3 linked regions of the Arabidopsis thaliana genome follow. The protein of the gene in region 3 interacts with the protein of the main gene of each other region in a pairwise test. Each region holds a gene or a part of one and is shown on either strand. Other genes may lie near its edges.

Region 1 (3,895 bases), on a different chromosome or scaffold from region 3:
TCATTGTGCAGGTAAAAGCATTCGACTTATCATGCTTTGACCCAGTAAGGACTTATAACAAATACTTGGTGGGCAACAAGCTTAAACCAACCATTAAACCCAAAATTGGATTCTAAAGCTTTCAATTTGATTAGAAATTCACGAATCTTTTCAAACAAATAATGCCCACGAATAATTCCAAAGTTCCAACATGTTTATCTAGCAAAAGGGTCGAGAGATAGAGAGAGACCTGGTTCCATTGGAGAAGTGTATCAACGTAGAGATGGATTTGGTCCTGTTGGCTAGAACTGAGAGTTTTGAAACATGAAGCTGTTGTGCTTACGGTGGCATTAGAGAGGGCTTTGTAGTGAAATCTCCTCCGAAGAAATGTGTGCGATTTGGTGCATGGAAGGTGTTTGATTAAATGCCCCAGAGAGAGAATATGTGAGACGCAGTGCATTTTTTTGGTGTTTTCAACAAATGAACAAATTGATCTCATATTCTATTGATTCTTAAAGTTTTTTTTTCACATACAACCTTTTTTCTTCTTTGGTGACTGGGAACAAATCTACAATGTTGAATTTCATTTTCATTATTCAAACAAATATTTCAATAACATTAGTAAGCTAACCTTTACAAAATCATTACCAAATATAAAACTCTTAACAGTTTCAAAATTTGCTGAAATTATTCATGTGTATAATGTATCATCAGGATGATTTGGCTAATGTAATGGGGCTGTGTATCATATATATACAAATTCTCACACTCACATAAAGAAAATTTGTAACTCCAAACTGGTTTTGGTATTTTGTAACAATTCAAAGAGTATAAAGAAAATTCATATCTTGCAGTTCTTGCTTTCACCACATGTCTCTACCTGCAAACACAATCATATCATTGATTGGTTTTACCGAGCAAAGGTTACTACGACAGAAAATCGATAACCTTTGTTCCCTACCTTATCTTTCTTTCTTGCTTCAAGAATAGCTTCTATAGATGGCCTCCCTAATCAACAAAGAGATCTAGTTTTTGAGACGCACAAATAATCAAGTAAGCTTGTACAACATTTTTCAGGTCATTTTATATACCTGTGACTTGAAGTCGGTATTTAGCCCATACATCATACACAACATCTGCTAACTTCCCTATCTGCAAGTAATCGCGTGTTATCCATGAATACGGAACTTAACACAATGGAAGAGATCACTAGGAGATAAAGAGAGAAAAGCTTACTGGTTCAAATTTGGTGATAGTGTAAACCCATCCAAGCCCAACTTCTTCATACAATCTCCTAAATGCCTGAAAACGTTACACCAAAATGATAAATATGAAATGGTTAGTGTAAAACAATGATGCTAATAAGCTTACCTCCACACCCTTAACAACGTTACCATCAGACTGAATGGCATGAATCTGCCCCATCACCTAATAAAGATCTCGATCAAATCCGAAAGTTCGAACATCAAACAGAAGATGAAACAAAATTGAACCAAATTAAAAGACAGTAAATTTACTGTTTTGTAATCAAGCCCTTGATTATCTTCCGGGGAATAATCATTTGAACTTATGTCGACAAACTTTATAGTTCCATGTTTTTCATTCCTTTCCATAAGCATATTAACCTTCATTCACCAATAAAAAGACAAAAATTCAGTATCAAAAACACTTTATGAACAAACATAAACAAGAAACAGAGGTCTAACTTAGACCTCACGCATACAGAGAGGACAATCTCCATCATAAAGCATTTTGATTTTCCAGTTTTGTGGCTTTGGTTCCTCTCTGTTCTTTAATGGTGTAATGACAGGATCAGTACTTGTTCCTTGTATCGCCCTAACTTGATATTTAAACCCTACAAGGAAAAATCATATACACCACAATTGACTTTAAACCCTAAATTGATATGAACTTTTGACACAACTCTTATGTTTCATGTATCTATCTTAGAACAGAATTGTAATGAAATTGTACCTGTTGGGATGATTCTATGATTGAAATTGGGATTGAAATGGCGAGATAATGATCGAAGAGAAGGGTTTCTTCGGTGCTTCCATATTGTGGATGCAGCAGCAGCAACAGCTCCTCTCGTTGCCATTTTTCTTTTTTTTTTGTTCTTGTCCAAAATTTTAAAAGCCCCTTTGATGGAATTTTGATTTTTGGTGTTTTTTCTCTATGTAGCTTTGGTTATGTCAATTTGTCAATGTGTGGTGTTTTAAATCAGAGGCGTTAAATTTTATGGTGCAGAGCCGTGCACGTGGCATTACTGTCTCCTTCAATGTTTTGTATTGTATGCCAGTGTTGGAGTACCGTGGAGAATGGGAACATCGAGCGTATCCCGTGTGTGGTTAGGTTAGGTCGGTCGGTTATGAGCAATATCAGAGACCAACTCAGTATATGTTTTACAGTTTTAGCTATTAGAGGGGTTTTAAAATTATAGTTGAGATTTTTTGTATGGTTAAAATTCATATTTTGTATTATTTATTTATTAGTTTAATGTATTCTATTGATTTATACATATTAAATATTCTATTAATGTTTTAATAATTCCAAAATTAATACGTTTTTGCTTTTCGAAATAGTGTCCAAAGTTTACAAGCAAGATTTTGATGGAGTCAGTAAGAAATAAAAGAGACTATAACATTGGTTACCAATTTTTAGTCATCACAATTTTGCAACGGACATAAGACTGCAATGATATGATATGTCTATCTTCAAAATCTGTTGTATATAAGCGAGGGATTAGCGACAAAAATTTTCCGCCGTTCAAATCCTCGTTAATTGTACATACTTTTTTCGTTTCTCTTTTAATTTTTAGATGTTTTAATAATACTCCTTTGGAGTACATTGGATCAATTATCTAATACATGATCAGCTTCAAGCACGCTCGATGCTTTCGGTTACGTTTGTAACGCTAACTTTTGATAATTTTTGTATTATTCTACTAGAAGAAGTAATGAGTCTTCTTCAGTCAAAAAAAACTGAATGATTGCTTTCGAATTTTTTCACTTTAATATCACATACTCCAAAGGACCAGCTTTTGTCATTAGCCACTCACATGCCTTCATATTTTCCAAACTATATCCTTAAATTCTGAAGCTTCTCTTTAATATTCCCCAAAGTTTTAGAATTTGCTCAGCTTGATCCTCCTTCCGATATGCTTTGTAATGATGGCTGCCATGATCTTGAGATTCTTGACCTTTCTTTCTCCTGTTTCTTCATTTGCAGCTATAGACGTTTTTCATCCAAGTTAAAACCAATTATCACTATAATTAAACATGGTAATCTTTGTAATCACATATTACCTGATCTTCATTGTCAAGCTTAGTAGAGTTTATTGCTTTCACCATCTCTAGCTTATCATCCGAGCCTTTACTTTCTTTCTTCAACTTCGAACATTTTTTGGCCATTAAACCCTTCATAACCTCTGAATTTCACCCCAAATAGTATCAAAATTTGTAGATTAGACCCCAAAAACGTATATAAATATAACTTTTAAGAGAGTGTTTATTTTAACATAAGTATAAGTACGGTTAAGTAAGTTTTCTAAAGCGCCTACAAATAGTTTGAGAAAATCAAATGCTAACTATGCGGAAATAGCTCATTCATTTCCTAGGGTTGCAACTTACGAGATATATGTAACATATTTATCAAACGGACTAATAAATATATAGTTCAAATTCAATTACGAGATATGTAATCGAGATGCAAGAATATAGAGTTGGAGTAGAATTATTGTTAGTTGAAATGTTGGAGTAGATTTAGGCATGTTACTCTAATATATATACCTTTGGTGGTAATGAGTCTATAGACGTGGCCGAGAACAAGCGTATCCGTGGGACGAAGGAGCTTGATCCTCGTGAGCCTAAGAGGCCCTCCATGACCGGAAGATGCTGACGAGAGAGCGGTGGTAGAG
Region 2 (4,561 bases), on a different chromosome or scaffold from region 3:
AACAACATAGTTTCATGGAGCAGAGACAACAACAGCTTCATTGTTTGGGAACCAGAGACTTTTGCCCTAATTTGCCTCCCTAGATGCTTTAAGCACAATAATTTCTCCAGCTTTGTTAGACAGCTCAATACTTATGTACGTAACTACTTTTGAGTTTTTGTCTTGGTTATTTTGATCTTCATTAAAAATTAAATCTTTGTTTAATGATCTGTAGGGGTTTAAGAAGATTGATACAGAGAGATGGGAATTTGCAAATGAGCATTTTCTGAAGGGAGAGAGGCATCTTCTTAAGAACATCAAGAGAAGAAAGACATCATCTCAAACGCAAACGCAGTCGCTAGAAGGAGAGATCCATGAGCTGCGAAGAGACAGAATGGCTTTAGAAGTAGAACTGGTTAGACTGCGACGAAAACAAGAAAGCGTGAAGACATATCTGCATTTGATGGAAGAGAAACTGAAAGTCACAGAAGTAAAGCAAGAAATGATGATGAATTTCTTGCTAAAGAAGATTAAGAAACCGAGTTTTTTACAGAGCTTAAGGAAACGTAATCTGCAAGGAATCAAGAATCGAGAGCAAAAGCAAGAGGTGATCTCAAGCCATGGTGTTGAGGATAATGGAAAGTTTGTTAAAGCTGAGCCAGAAGAGTATGGTGATGACATCGATGATCAATGTGGAGGTGTGTTTGATTATGGTGATGAGCTTCACATAGCTTCAATGGAGCATCAAGGACAAGGGGAGGATGAAATTGAAATGGATAGTGAAGGAATTTGGAAGGGTTTCGTGTTGAGTGAGGAGGAGATGTGTGATTTAGTGGAACATTTTATATAATAAACTAATGTATTATGAGAGGTTTTTTTTTGTTTTTTTGCTTTTTTTTTCCGAGTTTGTCATCAAGCATTGTATACAATTTGGGCCAAACTAAAAGCCCAACAAAATATTTGGCCTTGGCATTTGTTAACAAATTGACTAATTCGGCCACACCTTCCACTCCATTGATTGTTCAAAGACGTCTATCAACATTTTATTTCTCCTGAGCACTAACTATAAAGTATTTACATTTTTACACAAATTTTATTGCTGTCAATTTTAAAAAGTAGCTAAAATACGATACAATTATTTTAATTTAAGTCAGTTATACGTTTCGATCGAAGCGCGTGACGAATCGAACCGTTGGATTGACCTTTTATTTAAGAGATATTGCCTTTTATGATCACCCATGTGGCTTTCCTCGATTTAATTTTATTTTTAATTATTAATAATCGAGTGCACGTACTCGCCACGTCATTTTCATGACTTTATTTTTATAAATCTTATCCTCATTTGTACCATTAGATTCTTCCCTCAAATAAAGCCTTTTTTATACGTTACTACTAAATAAATTAATTCCTCCATCTTAGGAAAATTTTCTCTAATTAAGCGACAACTTTCTAATAAATACTGCATTATCAAACGCACCTAATATTACACAAACGATAATAAAATGGATACTTTTCAGATATGTTTTCAAAATCGTTTATCTATTTAATATTATTACACTACCAATAATATCCAGCATTTGCAATGAATGTAATTACGTAATTAAGTCCTATTTTACACGTCTACTAAATTTATAAACTTTTTATCATAAAAATAGTTATTACATTCCAAAAATTACTAGTAACATTCCTATAAATTGCGTTACTATTTATCCAAACAAATTACTATTTTTACAATCTACATTGCCTTATCAAAAGTTTAAAATCAGATAATTGTGATTCCGTTTAAAGATATGATTATCCATCTAATTAACTCTTTTTTATTAACCTCATTGAGAAAAAAGAAAAATATCCAAAACTTTCTTATCCTCTTGAATCACGACACGTGTCAATAACGTAGGGGTAAAATAGTAATCACGTATATCCTACAAGATTCCTTTATAGCCTTCCCGGTCTTTCTTCACTTTTTTCCTCATCATTTTCTCGTTTGCTCCATTTTTTTCTTCTTTCTGCAAATTTTATTTTCCCGAGAAAATCATCACTGAGAAAAATGCTCGCTGTGTTTGAGAAGACGGTGGCGAATAGCCCTGAAGCTTTACAGAGTCCACACTCGTCTGAGTCTGCTTTCGCGTTGAAAGATGGATCTCTCGCTACTCATTTCGCTTCCGTGAATCCCAACTCCGTCACGCTTAACTTCGGATCTTCTGGATTTGTTGCTTACTCTCTTGATAATCCTGATCCTCGTGTTCCTAGGTCAATTTCAAGTCCTCTTCTCTTTGATTATATGCTTGATCTAGTCAAATCTTTGTTGTTTCTTTGATTTCTAAGTAGTAGATTTTGAATCTCCGATGTTTTCGGTTTCGATTTTGTTTATTTCTGGAATCTTCTTGATTTGATCTGCGATAATGTTGGATATATTCGCTATTTTGCTGCAGATTTACTTGGATTGACTTTATTTGGCTTGCGATCTAGGATTTATGGTTTTTGGCTTGCTTGTGTTGGTACTATAGCTTGATGATGATGATGATGAACAGTAACGGTAGATTTTACAAACTACATTAGATGATGATGAGATAACAGTAGCTAGTGATTTTTGGTAGAATCTGGGATTAGAGATTCTACAGCTCCACTAGATGATGATGATGATGATAATGTTATTGTTCTACAAAGTAGATTAGATGATGATGATAATGTTATTGTTCTACAAAGTAGATTAGATGATGATGATGATATTATTGTGAGCTATTGGAGGAATACGGAACTACAGAGTCTATTTAACTCTATTTTTCATCGATAGAAGATGATTGAAAAGATCTACACTGGATTAGAGTAATCTGTGGCTCTTGATTTTGTATATTTGGTAATGTGATTTGGTTTCTATTGAATTTGACAGATTATTTGCTGTGGTGGATGATATTTTCTGTCTCTTCCAAGGACACATTGAGAACCTACCGTTTCTGAAGCAGCAGTATGGACTGAACAAAATCACAAACGAGGCCATCATTGTGATTGAGGCTTACAGGACACTACGTGATCGAGGTCCTTACCCTGTGGACAAAGTTGTTAGAGATTTCCATGGAAAGTTTGCGTTTATACTCTTCGATAGCGTCAAGAAAACTGTCTTTGCTGCTGCTGTAAGTCCAGCAGCTATACATTCTTGATCTCAATGTTTAAGTCGCGGAACTTGATTTACTTGTTGTCAATGTGCAGGACGCCGATGGGAGTGTGCCGTTCTTCTGGGGAACCGATGCTGAAGGGCACCTTGTGTTTTCTGATAACACCGAGATGGTGAAGAAAGGTTGCGCCAAATCTTATGGTCCTTTCCCTAAAGGTACCAACTTTACTCCAAATGTTTTTGACTCTTTTTAAGATAAATAGAATTTACCTATTAGAAAGATAGGTATTAAGATTTTGATAATCTGATCCAAGACTTTGGTTGTTTGTGTGATTGTTGTAGAGCAGCAGTTCACTAAATGATTATATGGCTTTTTTTTTGGTGTTTGAAGGTTGTTTCTTTACGTCGTCGGGTGGATTGAGGAGCTTTGAGCACCCAAAGAACGAGTTGAAGCCAGTGCCGAGAGTGGACAGCTCAGGTGACGTGTGTGGTGCAACCTTCAAGGTTGACGCTGAGACTAAGAGAGAGGGTACCAAAATGCCTAGAGTCGATAGCTCCCAAAATTGGGCCGGTCATATCTAAACCGGAAATCATACACAAATCACAAGCTCAGCATCTTCTCCCTCTTGTCTTGTCCCCTCTCTTTCGTTACATGTTTGAGTTACATTGAGAAAATAATTTCAAACCACAATGTTCTAAACGCGTTTATGTACATGTTTGAGGTGGGATTTGGAAAGGATGTCGAGTTTTGTGAAACTTTGGAATTACGAGACTACTAGACTTTTGTTTCTCTGTTTACGTTTCTTAAATCAATAAATAAATAAGTTTTTATTTCATCATTTGTAAATGCTTTTTGCGCGAAGTTTTTATTCCATTTTTATACACAAGGAAAAAGTGGAAAACATAAATTGATGTTATGCTTCAATTCAGTTTCTCACGTAAGCTAAGGAAGGTTCGGACCATTGATCATAAGGGAAGGGATTGTTAAGATGAGAAACCATATTAAGAAACTATCGGTAAACTATCACAAACTTTGTTTGAAATCGTCCATGCAAGGATCATGTTCATTTTTAACAATTTTTACATTTGAGATGTTGGTGCTGCCATCGCAGTTGTTGGCGCCACCACCAACTTAAACGCATTTGCATTTTCCTATTGATTATAATGAAGATGTTTAGCAAATTGATAGTACGAGTGATTGATGTTACGTCCATATGATCTTTACCAGTAAATATATTGTCTATCATTAATCCTTGCTAATATCACTTGATAAAGGTTAAGAACAAAAACAGTCACTCTTTATACATCATTTGATCTCTTCCGCGAATATGACATCGAAAATGTGTTGTACTGCACAGTGGATATCATAGAGAAGCTAAAATCAGACTCAGACCTTTAGAAAGATTTACATTTAAGAATAACAGTCGAACAAGAATGTGAGTTTTTTGTCAATGTGATACCTTCATCTTT
Region 3 (4,089 bases):
GTGCATGTTGTTTTATAAACAAATTACTACTCCAATGTTATTTAATTAAGTTGTTTAAACACGCTTTTTTGTAATGTTGCATCAGAAGCCCAGCTGAAACAAATGCGGTGGTTGGGCAAATGACGATATTTTATAGTGGCAAAGTGAATGTATATGATGGAGTACCACCTGAAAAGGTAAATGAATCACATAATTCTGTCCAGCCTGAAAATATAAATTTTGATGGTATGGTTTTGATCATTCATCTTGTGTATTGATTTGCAGGCCCGGTCTATCATGCATTTTGCAGCCAATCCAATTGATTTGCCTGAAAATGGTATTTTTGCTTCTAGTAGAATGATTTCGAAACCCATGAGTAAAGGTAAGCATTTGCTAAAGTGTCTGATCTGCTTTTCAGTTGAAAGATTGATGATTCAGACTTGAAATGAGTTTTTTTTTTAATGTATAATCTAACTTGAAAAAATGACTAGAGCTGCTGCATCTCAAGATGAGTCTTTCTTTCTTTCTTATGTCAAACACGGCCTTTCATTTTGTCCAATTTTGAAAGGAGGCATTGTTAAATTACCAAAGAAGCATGTCTAAATGCTGTAATTGCTGCTACCTCTACTAGCTTATGTGTCTACAGATGCCTCGTGCCCCTTTTTTTGAAATTGTGATTTGATTTTTTCAGAGAAGATGGTGGAGCTTCCCCAATATGGACTTGAAAAGGCACCTGCTTCTCGTGATTCTGGTACAAACAGTACTCATTTTACCTTAAAGATATGAAATCCTATTATTCAATGATGCTTTAAAACACCTGAGAGCGAAATTTGGTCCACCTCTTCACCTCTACATGCTACGCTAAACTACTTGCTTGTTCTGCATGATATACGACCATGAAATTCTGTTAATTTAACTATTGTTCTTTTTGTTGGTCTTTTCTGAAGATGTTGAGGGTCAGGCGAACAGAAAAGTATCGTTGCAAAGATATCTTGAAAAGCGGAAAGACAGGTAGTTGTTGCTATTATGCTGTGTGCTTGCTTATTCCAAATCGATGAATACTGATACCTTTCTTTCTGAGCAGAAGATTTTCTAAGACCAAGAAGGCTCCAGGAGTTGCGTCCTCTAGCTTGGAGATGTTTCTGAATCGTCAGCCACGGATGAACGCTGCATATTCACAAAACCTTAGTGGCACAGGGCATTGCGAGTCACCTGAAAATCAAACAAAAAGTCCCAATATCTCAGTTGATCTAAACAGTGATCTAAACAGCGAAGGTATGAACAAGCATTTGTCAAATGGTTCCAATGATCTCCCTTAAAACTCTCATTCGCTTTTTTATAGATAATTAACAAGGTGCCAAAAGAACTGGAGATGGTACTACGGGTCAAAAGGCGGGAAGAACAATTTCATGTTCTTATAACATGTTAGCCATGTACAAAAAGAAAGAAAGCAAACAATGAATGTTCTCGTTCATTGTGGAAGAAACATGGGTTAAAGATTTGAGCTGGATCAGTGCGGGTCTTGTATGGTTTTGTTTTTTTTACGGGTTGCGTCCATCTTTTTTGGTCTGTAGTTTTGAGTAGGTTAGAGAGACGCGAGAGAGAGAGAGAGGATGTGGCGGTTTGTATTATGTAAATGCTTGTCTTATAATGAGAGAGACCTTATTGATGATACCAATCTTTGAGGTCCAAGTAACACAACTTCTTTGTGATTGATATGTATGAGATAATTAATTTGTCTATTTTCATGGCATGATGTATGTGATATGTCTGAGATTTGCAACATTCTTCTATAAAGTTGAGAAATAAGGGTAGTTTAGTCTTTTTAACCAAAGATTTTTATTTATTTGATCTTTTCCCTGTTTTAAAAAGAAGAATCGAGTAATCGGGTGGTTTTGAAGACGAAGAAGGACTAAGACATCACGAGGAACACGATGGGTGAAGCGGTCAAGGTATGTTTTTATCTTTGTCTCCTCTGCTTCTGATCTGTTAATGCCAATCGATAATTCCTAGTTTTGCGATGCAAGCATGAATCGTCGATTGTTATCTGAGTGATTTGATTCATTTTCGACGATTTTCGAATCATCATAACTACTTCTTTTGCTCAAATCTCGCAGTCAGTTTAATGCCTATTCGTATTCAATTTAGTTATGCAATTGACGATTTCTCGAATTGTCTGAAGTTTTGAAGCTAAAATCAGATTAAATATAAAATATCTGAACATTGCCTCCCAAGGAATCTAATCCCATCTTGATGTGCTTTTGCTTAGGATGGGAGAGAAGAAGTGATTCAAGCTTGGTATATGGATGATAGTGAAGAGGATCAGAGACTTCCTCACCACAAGGATCCTAAAGAGTTTGTATCGTTGGACAAACTTGCAGGTCCCCCTCTTTGTGTGTTTCAATTCAATGTTGTTCTCTCTGCTTCTCTATTTTGTTTCACATGTAATGTTTGTGTGCAGAGCTGGGAGTACTTAGCTGGAGACTTGATGCTGATAACTATGAAACCGATGAGGATTTGAAAAAGATCCGTGAATCTCGTGGTTACTCTTACATGGTTTGTGGTCTTTATTTATTTACTATCCCACTAGACTTGAATGGTAGATGTTTATTTTTGTCCAAGTCTTATTTTAACTCTCTAGGGGTTTTCTCAATCTTGGTTTGATGATTAAAAAGTGTTCAAAATGCAGGACTTTTGTGAGGTATGCCCGGAAAAGCTTCCAAACTATGAAGTGAAAGTGAAGAGCTTTTTCGAAGAACATTTACACACTGATGAGGAGATCCGTTACTGCGTTGCAGGAACTGGTAAGAACTTCTTTTACTGGCGGCTTTACTCGTAAACTTAAAATTTCGATATAGTAGTCATGTTTTATTTTCTTGGGAAAAAGGTTACTTTGATGTGAGAGATCGTAATGAAGCTTGGATTAGGGTATTGGTAAAGAAGGGAGGTATGATAGTCTTACCTGCTGGGATCTATCATCGCTTCACTGTGGACTCTGACAACTATATCAAGGTGCAATGTCAGCTTTTCTTCTAGCCATTTATTTTATAGTTTGGGCTTGCTTAGAAAATTGAAATATCTTGTTGAACAGGCAATGCGGCTATTCGTGGGTGAACCGGTATGGACACCATACAATCGCCCACACGACCATCTTCCTGCAAGGTACAATGTCCTGGGTTTTCCCCTTTTGTTTGTTCTCTTATGCAAACAATGGGATATATAATCAAGCAAGAAATTCTGTTATTTTACGAGAAATAAATTCTGATATTTTACAGGAAAGAATATGTCGATAACTTCATGATCAATGCCTCGGCTTAGAGAGCTTCCTCTCTCTATATCTGGCTTTCTGAAACAAGGATCTATAAACAAGGCCTACAATAAAGAAAGCTTTCCTGTCAAGTATTGGATATTTATATGTATTCCTGTGTAGAATGATGGCTTTTGGTATGCTTGAGTTGTTGTAAACTTAGTTACACTCTCTGATATGTCTCTCTTTACCATCTTTGTCGTATCCCATATACGAAAAGATTACATTGGGATTCATATTGTCTTACGTTCGTTCCTATGTGCAATATGTTGAGTTTTTACACAAATCTCTATTCTTTTTTATTTGCTTTTCAAAAACCAACAAATTAGAAGAAACTAATAAGAAGTAATACGTCCAACCGCGTCAACTTCTTTGGTTTAATCTAAACCATGGTTCGTTTGGTTGTTGTTGTGTATCTTAACATGCTGACGGTTTTAAGGATGGTTCGTTTGGTGGTTGTTGTTATCGAACATGTTCACGGTTCTAAGGAAGAAAAGTGTGGTTTTGTGTATTTGTGGTTGGACATAAGATTTTCGTTTTCGTTTACATTTGTGGCTTTCTTTTGTAATTTCCTTTTAGAGTTTGGAATCTCCTTAAATCCGACCTACATTAACTCTATAGTCTATAGAATTGGAGTAATCATTTTATTCTCCTATCTTAATGGATTACAATAAACAGTAGTTGAATGGAAGAAAAAGGGGATATAAAAGTAAACTTAGCAAGTTTAGCAGCCATGATTAGGCTTATAATAATTTATGTAGACGTGGAGCTTACGTGGCAGTCTAGGGAGTTTCCCTGCTCCG

The links. Proteins that work in one complex are often made in the same cells at the same time.
Region 1: the proteins of ARD1 (region 3) and AT5G50100 interact in a two-hybrid assay, tested with the Arabidopsis thaliana proteins (one large-scale study listed by BioGRID).
Region 2: the proteins of ARD1 (region 3) and AT5G43830 interact in a two-hybrid assay, tested with the Arabidopsis thaliana proteins (2 studies listed by BioGRID).

Annotation. Positions count from the first base shown.
Region 1 is NC_003076.8:20,370,098-20,373,992, reverse strand, and holds AT5G50100 (Putative thiol-disulfide oxidoreductase DCC), read right to left. Parts: upstream 2,196-3,895; 5' UTR 2,078-2,195; coding exon 1,954-2,077; intron 1,835-1,953; coding exon 1,692-1,834; intron 1,605-1,691; coding exon 1,497-1,604; intron 1,408-1,496; coding exon 1,351-1,407; intron 1,282-1,350; coding exon 1,216-1,281; intron 1,132-1,215; coding exon 1,071-1,131; intron 988-1,070; coding exon 941-987; intron 860-940; coding exon 821-859; 3' UTR 552-820; downstream 1-551. Other genes in the region: AT5G50110 (S-adenosyl-L-methionine-dependent methyltransferases superfamily protein), read right to left, coding at 230-478; AT5G50090 (D-ribose-binding periplasmic protein), read right to left, coding at 3,115-3,207, 3,285-3,406, 3,768-3,895.
Region 2 is NC_003076.8:17,621,705-17,626,265, reverse strand, and holds AT5G43830 (aluminum induced protein with YGL and LRDR motifs), read left to right. Parts: upstream 1-1,906; 5' UTR 1,907-2,026; coding exon 2,027-2,229; intron 2,230-2,869; coding exon 2,870-3,110; intron 3,111-3,186; coding exon 3,187-3,307; intron 3,308-3,482; coding exon 3,483-3,673; 3' UTR 3,674-4,010; downstream 4,011-4,561. Other genes in the region: HSFA6A (heat shock transcription factor A6A), read left to right, coding at 1-135, 215-829; AT5G43822 (Pentatricopeptide repeat (PPR) superfamily protein), read right to left, coding at 4,398-4,441, 4,552-4,561.
Region 3 is NC_003075.7:8,429,692-8,433,780, reverse strand, and holds ARD1 (acireductone dioxygenase 1), read left to right. Parts: upstream 1-1,817; 5' UTR 1,818-1,913; coding exon 1,914-1,931; exon of another isoform or gene 1,932-2,095; intron 2,096-2,248; coding exon 2,249-2,360; intron 2,361-2,440; coding exon 2,441-2,535; intron 2,536-2,668; coding exon 2,669-2,783; intron 2,784-2,866; coding exon 2,867-2,991; intron 2,992-3,070; coding exon 3,071-3,141; intron 3,142-3,254; coding exon 3,255-3,297; 3' UTR 3,298-3,574; downstream 3,575-4,089. Other genes in the region: AT4G14720 (TIFY domain/Divergent CCT motif family protein), read left to right, coding at 86-176, 265-361, 671-730, 927-990, 1,064-1,298.